Linked DNA regions of Anolis sagrei. The protein of the gene in region 2 interacts with the protein of the main gene of each other region in a pairwise test. Links are inferred from orthologs where the notes say so. Each region holds a gene or a part of one and is shown on either strand. Other genes may lie near its edges.

Region 1 (7,591 bases), on a different chromosome or scaffold from region 2:
CGTTGCCGATGACCTTGATGTCCGAGTAGGAGACCTCCTGCGGGCGGTCCGGCCCTTGGCCCGGCGTGGCCACCACCGTGGTCACCTTCCCGCTATCCCCTGCAATAATAATAATAATATAATAACACTTTGTTTGTACCCCGCTACCACCATCTCCCCAAGAGACTCAGTGCGGCTTACATGAGGCCGAGCCCAAACACAACAACAACAACAATAATAACAACACGTTATTTGTACCCCGCTACCACCATTTCCCCAAGGGACTCGGTACGGCTTACATGAGGCCGAGCCCAAACACAACAACAACAACAATAATAATAATAATAACAACAACACTTTATTTGTACCCCGCTACCACCATTTCCCCAAGGGACTCGGTACGGCTTACAAGAGGCCGAGCCCAAACACAACAATACAAGCAATAATAATAATACAAGCAATTAAAAACATAAACAATAAAGTACACAACATTATCAATAATGCAAGGAGGAAGGAAGGAAGGAAGGAAGGAAGGAAGGAAGGAAGGAAGGAAGAGGAGTGTCAGGGGCCTGGCCTCGGCCCCCTTGCCTTGCCTGGCCCGTTCTCTCCAGGGTTAGACCGGGGTCTCTGGAGGAGGGCTTGCGTCCCTCCTGCTTTGCCCCTTGACCACCACCCTTGCTGCCCCTCAGGAGGAGAGAGTGACCCTCGGCATCTCCCTCTGAGGCTCGGCCTAGGACTGAACTTCCCACTCAAGGAGGGGGGCACCAAGATGCCCTGCTTACCTTTGAAAATGGCATTCAAAGCACTCCCAACAGATGGCCATCCAGTGGGAGCCCGTGTGCCCCACTCCCTTGACCACTGGGGTGCCCCTCAGCACCTCCCTCTGAGGTGTGTGTGTGTGTGTGGAGGGGGGGTCTTGACCTAGGGCTGCACTGAGATGCCTTGCTCACTTTTGAAAATGGCATTCAAAGCACCCCAAATAGATGGTCATCCAGGAGGAGCCCGTGTGACCCACTCCCTTGACCACTGGGGTGCTTCTCTGAGGTGTCTGTGGGGGGGGGGGTCTTGACCTAGGGCTGCCCTGAGATGCCTTGCTCACCTTTGCCCCCACCCACCCCCACCTGGGCTGCCCCCTCGGCACCTCCCTCTGAGCTCTGAGGTGTGTGTGTGGTGGAGAAGGGTCTTGGCCTAGGGCTGTACTGAGATGCCCTGCTCACCTTTGCCCCCACCCACCCCTACCCCCACGTGTGAAAATGGCATTCAAAGCACCTCCAACAGATGACCATCCAGGAGGAGCCTGTGTGTCCCGCTCTCTTGACCACTGGGGTGCTTCTCTGAGGTGTCGGGGGGGGGGGAGTCTTGGCCTAGGGCTGCTCACCTTTGCCCCAACCCGCCCCCACCTAGGCTGCCCCCTTGACCACTGGGGTGCTTCTCTGAGGTGTCTGTGTGGGGGGGGGGGGGGGGCTGCACTGAGATGTCCTGCTCACCTTTGCCCCCACCCACCCCCACCTGGGCTGCCCCCTCGTCACCTCCCTCTGAGGTATCTGTGTGTGTGGGGGGGGGGGGGGGGGTTCTTGGCCTAGGTCTGCACCAAGATGCCTTGCTCACCTTTGCCCCCACCCACCCCCACCCCCACCCCCCATTCAGAGCACCCCCAACAGATGGCCATCCAGTGGGAGCCCGTGTGCCCTGCTCCCTTGACCACTGGGGTGTCCCTCGGTGTGTGTGGGGGGGTCTTGGCCTAGGTCTGCCCTGAGATGCCCTCCTCACCTTTGAAAATTGCATTCAAAGCACACCCAACAGATGGCCATCCAGGAGGAGCCTGTGTGACCCACTCCCGTGAACACTGTCCCTCTGAGGTGCGTGTGTGTGTGTGTGGGGGGGGGGGGGGGGTGTCTTGGCCTAGGTCTGCCCTGAGATGCCTTGCTCACCTTTACCCCCCTCCACTCCTACCCCCACCCCCCCATTCAAAGCACCCCCAACAGATGGCCACCCAGGAGGAGCCTGTGTGCTCCACTCCCTTGACCACTGTCCCTCTGAGGTGTGTGTGTGGGGGGTGCTTCTCTGAGGTGCTTCTCTGAGGTGTCTGGGGGGGGGGGTCTTGGCCTAGGTCTGCACTGAGATGTCCTGCTGACCTTTGACCCCACCCACCCCTACCCCCACCCCCCATTCAAAGCACCCCCAACAGATGGCCATCCAGGAGCAGCCTGTGTGCTCCACTCCCTTGACCACTGGGGTGCCCCTCGGTGTGTGTGTGTGTGTGGGGGGGGGGGGGGTCTTGACCTAGGTCTGCACTGAGATGCCTTGCTCACCTTTACCCCCACCCACCCCTACCCCTACCCCCAGCCCCCATTCAAAGCACCCCCAACAGATGGCCATCCAGGAGGAGCCTGTGTGCTCCACTCCCTTGACCACTGGGGTGCCCCTCGGTGTGTGTGGGGGGGTCTTGGCCAAGGTCTGCCCTGAGATGCCTTGCTCAGCTCACCTTTGCCCCCACCCACCCGTGCCCCCACTTGGGCCACGCCCCTCCCGTCTGCGGTTGCCAGGCAACCAGATCCTCCTCCTCCCTTTCCCTTACTTAGTGGGCCACCCCCCTAACCCCTAACCTGAACCCGGATTCTCAAGACCCCTTCCCCAGTCCAATGACCTCCCCGTGACGTCACCGCGAGAGACCCAGGCCCAGGTATCTATCATAATAATCCTCATCATAATAGGAATAGAGACAGAACAGTGAAGGGAGGGGGGTGCGACCCTGGAGACCCCCTTTCCCCCTCTCCGCGCAGACTCACTTCCGAGCTTGAGTCCCGGGAAGGAGCCCCCCGACGACAAGCTCCCTCCCCCTCCTCCGCCCCCTCCTCCAGGCCCGGGCCCGGCGGCCTTGCTCCCTGCGGGGGGCGGCAGCGGGGGAGGGGGGGCCGAGGCGGCGGAGGAGGAGGGGGCGGCGGAGGTGTTGGGGGCGGCGACGGCGGCGGCGGGGGGCGCGTTGGAGGGGTCGGCGAAGGAGCTGGTTCTAGGCCGCGAGGAGGAGCCGCCCGCGCTGCCGCTGCTCATGGCGAGGCCGGGACGCGGAGAAGGAGGAGGAGGAGGAGAAGCCTGGCTCCCTATCTAGAGAGAGAGGCCGTCGCCACCACCACCACCACCGCCGCCGCCACCGCCGCGAGGCCCCACGGGAAATGGAGTCCCCTCCACTCTCTCGCCCCAGTGCCGGCAGCCGGACTCCGCTTCCCAGAAGGCGCCGCGCCGCCCTCCCGAGGCGCCGCAAAGCACGACGGGAGCGAAATGAGTTCCCCCGAGCCCGGCACGACTACACTTCCCAGACTGCGCCGCGCGGCAACGACTCCCACACTGACAGACCGACCTACCTTCAGGGGCGCGGGCGGGCCCCCCTCCTGTTTCTCCCCCTGTTCCTCCCGCTCCGCCTCGGCGCTGCTCCATGTCGGCGGTGTGGGCGGAGGGCCCTCCCGGGCGGAAGGCAAGCGAGCTCGGGCTGCGGCCTGGGCGCCGCGGGGCACGACGGGAGGCCGCGGGCCCTGCTCTGCTGCTCCCGGCATGCCCCGCGCCCAGCCTTAGCAGCAGGAGGCAGGAGGAGGAAAGAGTCTCGTGACCCGGCGGCGGAAACTACGTCTCCCGTCGTGCTTCGCGGCAGGAAGTGTGAGGGTTGGGACGCCCCCCCCCCCGAAAGGGCTGCTGGGAGGTGTAGTCCCGCGGGAGAGAGAGGGAGGAGACTCCGCTCCCATCAGCCTCTTGGATGCTCCGGGCCCAAAGGCAGGCAGGAAGGAAGTATTAGTATCCCTGTATTGCCGAAGGCTTTCATGGCTGGAATCACTAGGTTCTTGTGGGTTTTTTCGGGCTGTATGGCCATGTTCTAGAGGCACTCTCTCCTGACGTTTCGCCTGCATCTATGGCAAGCATCCTCAGAGGTAGTGAGGTCTGTTGGAAGTAAGAAAATTGGTTTATATATCTGTGGAATGGCTGGGGTGGGGCAAAGAGCTCTTCTCTGCTGGAGCTAGGTGTGAATGTTGCAAAATAGCAGAGAGGAAACAACCAGGTACATCTTAACACCTCTCAACAAAAGATTTTCCCAGGCTCAGCCAGGCCTTCAAATGCTAATGAAGGTGGTCAGCTGAAACATTCACACCTAGCCCCAGCAGACAAGAGTCCTTTGCCCCACCCTGGTCATTCCACCGATATATAAACCCATTTTCCTACTTCCAACAGACCTCACTACCTCTGGGGATGCTTGCCATAGATGCAGGCGAAACGTCAGGAGAAAAATTGCCTCCAGAACATGGCCATATAGCCCGGAAAAACCTACAAGAACCTATTAGTATCCCTATTGGAATATGGATTAATGGACAATGAGAGTGGATGCTGATTCTACTGATGAGACGTGATGGATTGCTATTTTGTTGTATTGTTGTATTGATGTTTTGATGTGAATTAATTGATATTGCTGTCTTAATTGAGTAATGATCTGTTTTGTGCTGCTGAATTCGTTGTTAACCGCTCTGAGTCGCCTGAGGGCTGAGAAGAGCAGTATACAAGGGAAGTAAATCAATCAATCAATCAATCAATCAATAATAAGTAGGTTCTTGTGGGTTTTTTCGGGCTATTTGGCCATGTTCTAGAGGCATTCTCTCCTGACGTTTCGCCTGCATCTATGGCAAGCATCCTCAGAGGTTGTGAGGTCTGTTGGAAATAGGACAATGGGTTTATATATCTGTGGAATGACCAGGGTGGGACAAAAGACTCTTGTCTGCTGGAGCTAGGGGTGAATGTTTCAACTGACCACCTTGATTACAATTTGATGGCTTGGAAGTGTCTGGGGGAATCTTTTGTTGAGAGGTGATTAGATGTCCTTGAGTTGTTGTACTTTTTTCCGGGCTATAGGGCCATGTTCTAGAGGCATTCTCTCCTGACGTTTCGCCTGCATCAATGGCAAACCTCCTCAAAGTTAGTGAGGTCTCTTGGAAATAGGAAAATTGGGTTTATATATCTGTGGAAAGACCAGGATGGGACAAAGGACTCTTGTCTGCTGAAGCTAGGTGGGAATATTTCAACTGACCACCTGGCAGTGCCTGGGGCAATCTTTTGTTGAGAGGTGATTACATGCTGGACCACTCTCACAATCACCACTGTTTACAAAAAACAGAAGAAGGTTGAATCTGTATTGTCAAAGGCTTTCGTGGCCGGAATAACTGGGTTCTTGTGGGTTTTTCCGGGCTGTATGGCCATGTTCTAGAGGCATTCTCTCCTGATGTTTCGCCTGCATCTATGGCAAGCATCCTCAGAGCTTGTGAGGTCTGTTGGAAGTAGGAAAATGGGTTTATATATCTGTGGAATGGCTGGGGTGGGGCAAAGAGCTCTTCTCTGCTGCAGCTAGGTGTGAATGTTTCAACTGACCACCTTGATCAGCATTTGATTTCCTGGCAGTGCCTGGAGCAATCTTTTGTTGAGAGGTGGTTAGATGTCCTTGTTTGTTTCCTCTCTGTTATTTTGCTGTTGTTTTGTTCAATGAACAAAATCTGGCTACCAGTATTAAAAAACTCTAAAATTGCAACAGCAAAACAACAGAGAGGAAACAACCAGGCACATCTTAACACCTCTCAACAAAAGATTCCCCCAGGCTCAGCCAGGCCTTCAAATGCTAATGAAGGTGGTCAGCTGAAACATTCACACCTAGCTCCAGCAGAGAAGAGCTCTTTGCCCCACCCCAGCCATTCCACAGATATATAAACTCATTGTCCTATTTCCAACAGACCTCACTCCCTCTGAGGATGCTTGCCATAGATGCAGGCGAAACGTCAGGAGAGAATGCCTCTAGACCATGGCCATACAGCCTGAAAAAACCTACAAGAACCTAGTGATTCCAGCCATGAAAGCCTTCGACAATACAAGGAAGGAAGTATTAGTATTAGCTCCAGGCTCAGCGATGAATCCAGGGTCACACCCAAGCTGCGAACCTGCATCTTCAGCGGGAGTGTAACCCCGTCCAACACAGGTTGTAACCCTATACCCTGTTCGGCCTTTCGCCTGACCAGGAGTACCTCTGTCTTGTCTGGATTTAGTTTCAGTTTGTTCGCCCTCATCCAGACCGTCACAGCGGCCAGGCACCGGTTCAGGACCTCGACAGCCTCCTTAGTAGCAGGTGGGAAGGAGTGACAGAGTTGGACATCATCCGCGTACAGGTGACACCGCACCCCGAAACTCCGGATGATCTCTCCCAGCGGCTTCATGTAGATGTTAAACAGCATGGGGGATAATATAGAGCCCTGTGGAACCCCACAAGACAATGGTTGTGGGGATGAACAGGTGTCCCCCAATAACACCTTCTGGGAACGACCCTCCAGAAATGACCGGAGTCACTGCAAAACAGTACCTCCGAGACCCATTTCCGCAAGACGCCCCAGAAGGATACCGTGGTCGACGGTATCGAAGGCCGCTGAGAGGTCCAGCAGAACTAACAGGGACACACTCCCCCTGTCGAGCTCCCGGCGAAGATCATCCACTAAGGCGACCAAGGCTGTCTCGGTACCATGCCCCGGCCTAAAGCCAGACTGTGCCGGATCCAGATAATCCGTGTCTCTCAAGAATACCTGGAGTTTGCCTTTGGGCAATTGAGTGTCCTGCATTTCCTTTTGGCCCAATGTCCCATGGCCATGTGGTTTGTGTCAGTTGTATGGCATGAGCTGGAGATCATGAGAAAGAGCCACATCCACTGTTTTAGCGAGGTGATATGTGTTCCCCTCTTGGTATGCGTACTCAGCAGCAGAGTAGCAGATGCCTTCTAGAATCCTAGAGTTGGAAGAGACCTCCATGTATATTAATATGTATCTGCTGTAAAACAATGTATAACAAATGTATTAAACCATGATAAAATAATAAAAAATATTTACAGAAAAAACATACATCAATTACGTCTCCTATTTGTCCAATCTCATCATCCGGTTGTTCCAATTCCTATGTCATTTACCTTACATTTTCAAATGCTTATTCAAACAACCAAGTCTTGACTTTTTTCCAAAATGTTAAGGGGGCCGATCTAATGTCCTCGGGAAGGGCGTTCCATATCCGAGGGGCCACCACTGAGAAGGCCCTGTCTCTCGTCCCTGTTTGTGATGCAGGCGGGATCGAGAGAAGGGCCTCCCCGGACGATCTTAAAGTTATGATAATGTATTCCCGTCCTCCCCTTTCGGCTGGAGGCGGGTGCAACTCAGTCCCATTCCTCTGTAAAACACAGCTAAGAAAAGCATATATGAAGGCATCAACATATGAAGACTGGGATTGTGGTGCAGCTGGCTGAGTGTCAGAGCTGCATTAAGATCACTCTGACCAAAAGGTCATGAGTTCGAAGCCAGCCCGGGTTGGAGTGGGTTTCCAACCAATTGTGTGTAGCCTGTTGTCGACCTTTGCAACCTGAAAGACAGTTGCATCTGTCAAGTAGGAAAATAAGGTACCACCTTAAAAGTGTGGGGAGGCTAAATTAACTGATTTATGAGGCCATAAAGCAAAGCAGAGCAAAGCATTCCAGCGGGGAAACATGCGGGGAATGCGGAAGTGCTTCATCAGCGTCACAGATGGACGATGAAAGCGCCAGCTCCCCTGGCGGCCA
Region 2 (7,103 bases):
CTGGAATACATGACAGTGTGGACTCAGATAACCCAGTTCAAAGGAGATATTGTGGGATTTTCTGCCTTGATATTCTAGGTTATAGAGCTGTGTGGAAGGGCCCTCAGAAATAGCTTTGGGTATATTTAATCAACAAGGTTAGGTTCTACATGTATTTACTTATTAGTTAGAACATATGTTCTAACATAGATACACTTCAGAGTGGGATCTAACTAAATTAACTTTTTCCAACTGTTGCTTTGGGCCCTTCCACACAGCCCTATATCCCAGAATATTAAGGCAGAAAATCCCACATCATCTGAGTGTGGACTCAGATAGCCCAGTTCAAAGCAGATATTGTGGGATTTTCTGATATTCTGGGATATAGGGCTGTGTGGAAGGACCTTAAATGTTCTCACACTTAGCCCCCTTCTACCCTGCCATATAAAATCCAGATTATCTGCTTTGAACTGATTATATATATGGCAGCGTAGAATCATATAATCTAGATAATGTGGATTATCTGATTTGATAATCTGGATTACATGGCAGTGTAGAAAGGGCCTTAAAATTACAACTGAGGCCCCTTTCACACAGCTGTATAAAATACACATTGAACTGGATTATATGGCATTGTGGACTCAGATAACCCAGATCCCTTCCAGACAACCCCAATATCCCAGGATCTGATCCCAGGTTTTCTGCTTTTTCTGCACTGCCAAATAATCTGGGATAAACAGAAAATCTGGAATCAGATCCTGGGATATAGGGCCTGTCTGGAAGGGCACCCAGTTCAAAGCAGACATTGGGACTTTCCACAAAGCCACATAACACAGAATATCAAGTCATATAATCCACAATATCTGCTTTGAACTGGATTATCTGAGTCAAGACTGCCATATAATCCAGTTCAAAGCAGACAATGTGGGATTTTATAGAGCTGTGTGGAAGGAGCCACTGTGGAGTATCTCTCTTGATATTCTGGGTTAAATGGCTGTGTGGAAGGACCCCGAAATTAGGGAGAGATTATGTGGAGCTCAGTCCCCATGCAATTCAATCCGCACACCCACAACCAAGCATTTGCTTATTTGTTTATATACAACTTTCAGTCTCATCTAAACGATAGTTATTTGTGTGAATTCTAGTGTGGCTTGGTCTCAAATTCAGGAAATGGAGAATTATTTAGCAAGGCCTCTTCTACACTGCCATATAATGCAGTTCAAATCAAATATTGCAGTGTAGGGCCATTCTACACAGCCAAATAACCCAGAGCCCTTCCAGATAGGCTTTATATCTCAGGATATGATCCCAGGTTTTCTGCTTTAAACTGGATTATGAGTCCACAATGACAGCGCTCTTCCACAAACCCTATATCCCAGAAGATCAAGGCAGAAAATCCCACAATATCTGTTTTTAATTGGGTTATCTGAGTCCACACTCAGATAATGCGGGATTTTCTGCCTTGATAATCTGGGTTCTGTGGTTGTGTGGAAGGGCCTGGAGTCCACACTCAGATAATGTGGGATTTCCTACCTTGATATTCTGGGTTCTATGGTTGTGTGGAAGGGCCCTGAATCCACACTCAGATAATTTGGGATTTTCTGCCTTGATATTCTGGGTTCTGTGGTTGTGTGGAAGGACCTTGAGTCCACACTCAGACACTGTGGGATTTCCTGCCTTGATATTCAGGGTTCTATGGCTGTGTGGAAGGACCCTGAGTCCACACTCAGGTAATGTGCGATATTCTGCCTTGATATTATGGGTTCTGTGGCTGTGTGGAAGGGCCCTGAATCCACACTTTGTGGGATTTCCTGCCTCGATATTCTGGGTTCTATGGCTGTGTGGAAGGGCCCTGAGTCCACACTCAGGTCATGTGGGATTTTCAGCCATGATATTCTGGGATATAGGGCTGTGTGTGGAAGGGCCCTGAGTCTGAAGGCCAGTGTAGAGGGGGGCCTGAGAGAAAGGCCCAGAACCAACACATATCCACGGATGAAGGCAGGATCCCCGCCCCCTTCCAGCAGCCAGGCCTTTCCCTCTCGCCCCTCAGAGGTGTCCCTGCCTTGAGTAGACACACACAACTCCTAGGGAGGAGAGCCGCCTTGATTCCCCACAAGGCCCAACTTTCGGCCTGCCTGCCTGCCCGCCCGCCTCCCTCCTTGGCTCTCACCTCTCGCCAGGGAACACAAACCGCAGACGAGGAGGCTCCTCAGCACGGCGCCCATCTTCCCTCCTCTGGCTCTCACCGGCGGGGAGGCGAAGGTGGCGGAGGGGGAGGAGGAGGAGAGCGACACCTCCTCGGCCGCCCTCTCATGCTTTCGGAGGGGCAGAAACGGAGCGGCGCCGAAACAATTGCTTGGAGAGGCCTCAGCCGGGGAAGGGTCTTCCCCTCCCGCCTTTGTCTGTCTTCTCTTCCCGGAACAAACACTACTCGGCGGCCGGGGAAGGGGCGGCGGGAGGGCAGGCGCGCGCCCCCATGGCCCCCGCCTCGCGCCAAAGGAGGCCTCCCTCGCGCACTCGCTCGCGCACTCACTCCGTCGCGCGCCGCGGCCTCCCTCAGTCCAGGCAGCCTCGATCCCCCTTCCCTTTGGAAGCCCGGGAGGGAGGCCGCGCGCAGGAACTACGCATGCCTGCAGCCTCGCCTGGGTTTTCCGAAGGCACAATCTCCCTTCCTTCTTTCCTCCTCCAGCTCCTACGGCAAAGGCATTCACGTCGGCCTTTGCTCGCCCGGGCCCTTTCTTTCTCCGGCCTGCTTTCTCTCAGCCGCTTCAGTCCTCCTGGCAATCCGCTAGCCCTGCCGCATTCCTCAGGGACTTCTTGACGTCTCTCGGCTTGAGGAAAATGGATAAAATAATCACACAAAGTGATGAGGCTCCGGCAGCGTAGCACCCTGGACCTGGGAAGGGAGTGTCGGAACTACTTCCAGGGACACCGCGAGAGCCGCAGAACCAGCAGCACAAAAGAGGAGGGGGAGGGGGAGGCGAGGAGGCTGGGACACATCCGCCGCGCCGCCCAGGTGAACGACGCGCGGCTCCAGGAGGCAGGACGACGAGGATCCCTCCGCCAGGAGCGCCCAGGGAGGGAGGGAGGGAGGGACAGAGGGAGGGAGGCGGGCCTTTTCCTCGCGCACTCGCCAGGAGAGCATTGGCCGGGCTGTGGTGGAGATAGGCGGGCAGGCCTTGGCAGCGGGTGGTTACCTCACACAACTTGGGTCCTTCCAGACAGGCCCTATATTCAAGCATCTGATTCTAGGTTTCCTGTTTGCCTCAGATTATCATGAAGCAAAAAGTGGGCGCTAGAAACAACATCATAGGAAAGCTGACTGGCACAACCTGGGGATCACAACCAGACACAGTGAAGACATCTGCCCTTACGCTATGCTACTCTGCTGCTGACAGGGGCGGCTCGTCCATTACGCGAAGTAAGCGGTCGCAGAACACTTTTTTTTGCCAGGGGCGCAGAGGCGCCTCTGTAAATGCCCCTCGACTGCCACTTGAGGAGCACCCCCTCAGCTCACAACAGCCCTAGCAGTCCGGGGGGAGCCTCGGCTTTCTTGCTTCGCTGCCGGGCAATCCTCTTCCCAAAGGGGCCAGGCCCTTGAGCCTCGCCTAGCCCCTCTCGTTCCTGCTCCACCCGGCCACCGGGTGCGTGAGCAGAGCCGGCGCTCAATCATTCTCCGCGTTCGTTCCCTTCCCCATGACCGGCTCCCTTTCCCAATCCCCCGGCACTCCACCCGTCTCCTCTCCTCTCCCCAATCTTCGGGTAGGCCAAGGGGCGGAGCCGCCGCACCTGGCCTGCTTCGGGTCCGGAGGCATGTCTGAAGACCCCAGCGTGCACACCAAAAGTTGCCTCTTCTCCTGACTTTCTCTTCAGCCATTGGGACCGAGAGAGAGAGAGAGAGAGCCCCTCCGGCTGGAGGTATCTCCCACCTCTGCTCCCTCCTTTGTTTTTGCTCCTACCTTCAGGAAAGGTGGCATTCTCCACCTCTCTCTCTCTCTCTCTCTCTCTCTTGGTCCCAATGGCTGAGGAGAAAGTCAGGAGAAGAGGTGACTTTTGGTGCACACGACGGGTCTTCAGGCACGCCTCTGGACCCAAAGCAGGCCAGGCAAGGGAGCAAATGCGGCAAGTGTAGTTACTGGGATGTATAGTTCACCTACAATCAAAGAGCATTCTGAACTCCACCAATGATGGAATTGAACCAAATATGGCATACACAATTCCCATGACAAACGGAAAATATATATCAATGATTGGTTGGGGAGGGGGGTGCCAAAATACTGTTTGCTTACCGTTGAAAATTACCTAGGGCCATCTCTGGCTGCTGAGTATGCATTCCCAGTGTGGAACACATCTCACTACACTAAAACAGTGGATGTGGCTCTTAATGAAACATGCCGCATTATCACAGGGTGTCTGCGCCCTACACCACTGGAGAAATTACACTGCTTAGCCGGTATTGCACCACCTGACATCCACCGGGAAGTAGCAGCCAATAGTGAAAGGACCAAGGCAGAGACATCTCCAGTTCATCCCCTGTTTGGGTATCAGGCAGCACATCAATGACTTAAATCTAGAAATAGTTTTCTAAGATCTACAGAGACACTCGCCGGAACACCTCAGCAAGCGAGAGTCCAAAAGTGGCAGGCTCAAACCCAGAACCTCAACCAATCGCTGATACCAAATGAGAGACTCCCCCCTGGGCACACAGAGGAGTGGGCGACTTGGAAGGCGCTGAACAGACTGCGCTCTGGCACCACGAGGTGCAGAGCCAATCTTAAGAAATGGGGCTACAAAGTGGAATCCACGGCATGCGAGTGCAGAAAAGAGCAAACCACAGACCACCTACTGCAATGCACCCTGAGCCCTGCCACATGCACCATGGAGGACCTTCTTGCGGCAACACCAGAGGCACTCCAAGTGGCCAGATACTGGTCAAAGGACATTTAATCAACTACCAAGTTTACAAAGTCTGTGTGTTTTTTTTAATCTGTGTGTTTGTTTTGTTCTGTTAGAAATGTAATACAATGGTATGGTTGCTGATGACACGATAAATAAAAATATCAGACAGTGTAGCAGTCCCCGGTGGCGCAGTGAGTTAAAGCCCTGTGCCAGTAGGACTGAAGACCGACAGGTCGCAGGTTCGAATCCAGGGAGAGGCGGATGAACTCCCTCTATCAGCTCCAGCTCCTCATGCGGGGACATGAGAGAAGCCTTCCACAAGGATGATAAACACATCAAATCATCCGGGCGTCCCCTGGGCAACATCCTTGCAGACGGCCAATTCTCTCACACCAGAAGCAACTTGCAGTTTCTCAAGTCACTCCTTACACAACAAAAAAAAAATCAGACAGTGTGGACTCTTATAACCCAGTTTAGAGCAGAAAACCTGGGATCAGCTCCTGGAATATGAGGCCTGTCTGAGGCTTTGAACTAATAATAATAATAATAATAATAATAATAATAATAATTTATTGATTGATTAATTTGACTAGTGATATGACCAGGCCTGTAGCCGGGGGAGGGGGGTACAGGTTCAACCCCCACCCACCCACCCCCAAATTTTTCAGGTTAAAAAAAACCTAGTTTACTCATGAAGTTTAAATGGTTAACCAAATCCCCATGCTAAGTCTATGAGACGCAAAAAATTAAGAGTTCCTCCAGAACTACAAGCACTATCTCAAGCAAATATTGACAATTTATTCACACTGTCATTGTTGTTCATTCGTTCAGTTGTCTCCAACTCTTTGTGACCTCATGGACCAGCCCATGCCAGAGCTCCCTGTTGGCCGTCACCACCCCCAGCTCCTTCAAGGTCAGTCCAGTCACTTCAAGGATGCCATCCATCCATCTTGCCCTTGGTCGGCCCCTCTTCCTTTTGCCTTCCATTTTCCCCAGCATCATTGTCTTCTCTAGGCTTTGCTGTCTCCTCATGATGTGACCAAAGAACTTCAACTTTGTCTCTAGTATCCTTCCCTCCAATGAGCAGTTGGGCTTTATTTCCTGGAGGATGGACTGGTTGGATCTTCTCGCTGTCCAAGGCACTCTCAGAACTTTCCTCCAACACCACAGTTCAAAAGCGTCTATCTTCCTTCACTCAGCCTTCCCTAAGGTCCAGCTCTCACATCCGTAGGTTACTACAGGGAATACCATGGCTTTGACTAGGCGGATCTTTGTTGCCAGTGTGATGTCTCTCCTCTTTACTATTTTATCGAGATTGGACATTGCTCTCCTCCCAAGAAGGGAGCGTCTCCTGATTTCCTGGCCACAGTCTGCATCTGCAGTAATCTTTGCACCTCGAAATACAAAGTCTGTCACGGCCTCCACATTTTCTCCCTCTATTTTCCAGTTGTCACTCATTCTTGTTGCCATAATCTTGGGGTTTTTTTATGTTTAGCTACAACCCAGCTTTTGCGCTTTCTTCTTAATAATAATAAAATAATAATAATAATAACACTTTATTTGTACCCCGCTACCATCTCCCCAAGGGACTCGGTGCGGCTTACATGAGGCCGAGCCCAAACACAACAATACAGGCAATAATCACAACAATACAAGCAATCAAAATAAAACATAAACAATAATCATTTAACATCAATTAAACAACATACAGTTAAAACTGTGGGAAGGCCACATGTAAAAATTGGAATAGTGCTGAGGCATGGATGAAAAGGTGATAAAGCTGCGCCCGTATCTCGGGAAGTCTGACTTGGCCACGGTGGTACACGCTCTTGTCACATCCCGCCTGGATTACTGCAACGCTCTCTACGTGGGGCTGCCCTTGAAGACGGCCCGGAAGCTTCAGCTGGTTCAGCGCGCGGCAGCCATGTTACTAACTGGAGCGGGTGGCAGGGAGCACACAACGCCCTTGTTGTCCCAGCTCCACTGGCTGCCGATTTGCTACCGGACCCAATTCAAGGTGCTGGTTTTGGCCTACAAAGCCCTAAACGGTTCCGGCCCAAAATACCTTTCTGACCGCATCTTGGCCTACGAGCCCACGAGGACCTTGAGATCGTCTCGGGAGGCCCTTCTCTCGATCCCGCCTGCATCACAGGCACGGCTGGCGGGGACGAGGGAGAGGGCCTTCTCGGTGGTGGCCCCCCGGCTGTGGAACACTCTCCCGGCAC

The links.
Region 1: the proteins of LRP6 (region 2) and glycogen synthase kinase-3 beta-like interact in binary tests that used the Homo sapiens proteins (3 or more experiments, as listed by UniProt). The link is inferred for Anolis sagrei from reciprocal best matches to the Homo sapiens genes LRP6 and GSK3A.

What each region holds. Positions count from the first base shown.
Region 1 is NC_090034.1:109,126,264-109,133,854, reverse strand, and holds the start of glycogen synthase kinase-3 beta-like, read right to left. Parts: upstream 3,219-7,591; 5' UTR 3,031-3,218; coding exon 2,769-3,030; intron 100-2,768; coding exon 1-99. UniProt on the Homo sapiens protein: Constitutively active protein kinase that acts as a negative regulator in the hormonal control of glucose homeostasis, Wnt signaling and regulation of transcription factors and microtubules, by phosphorylating and inactivating glycogen synthase (GYS1 or GYS2), CTNNB1/beta-catenin, APC and AXIN1.
Region 2 is NC_090025.1:101,786,239-101,793,341, forward strand, and holds the start of LRP6 (low-density lipoprotein receptor-related protein 6), read right to left. Parts: upstream 3,037-7,103; 5' UTR 2,205-3,036; coding exon 2,150-2,204; intron 1-2,149. UniProt on the Homo sapiens protein: Component of the Wnt-Fzd-LRP5-LRP6 complex that triggers beta-catenin signaling through inducing aggregation of receptor-ligand complexes into ribosome-sized signalosomes.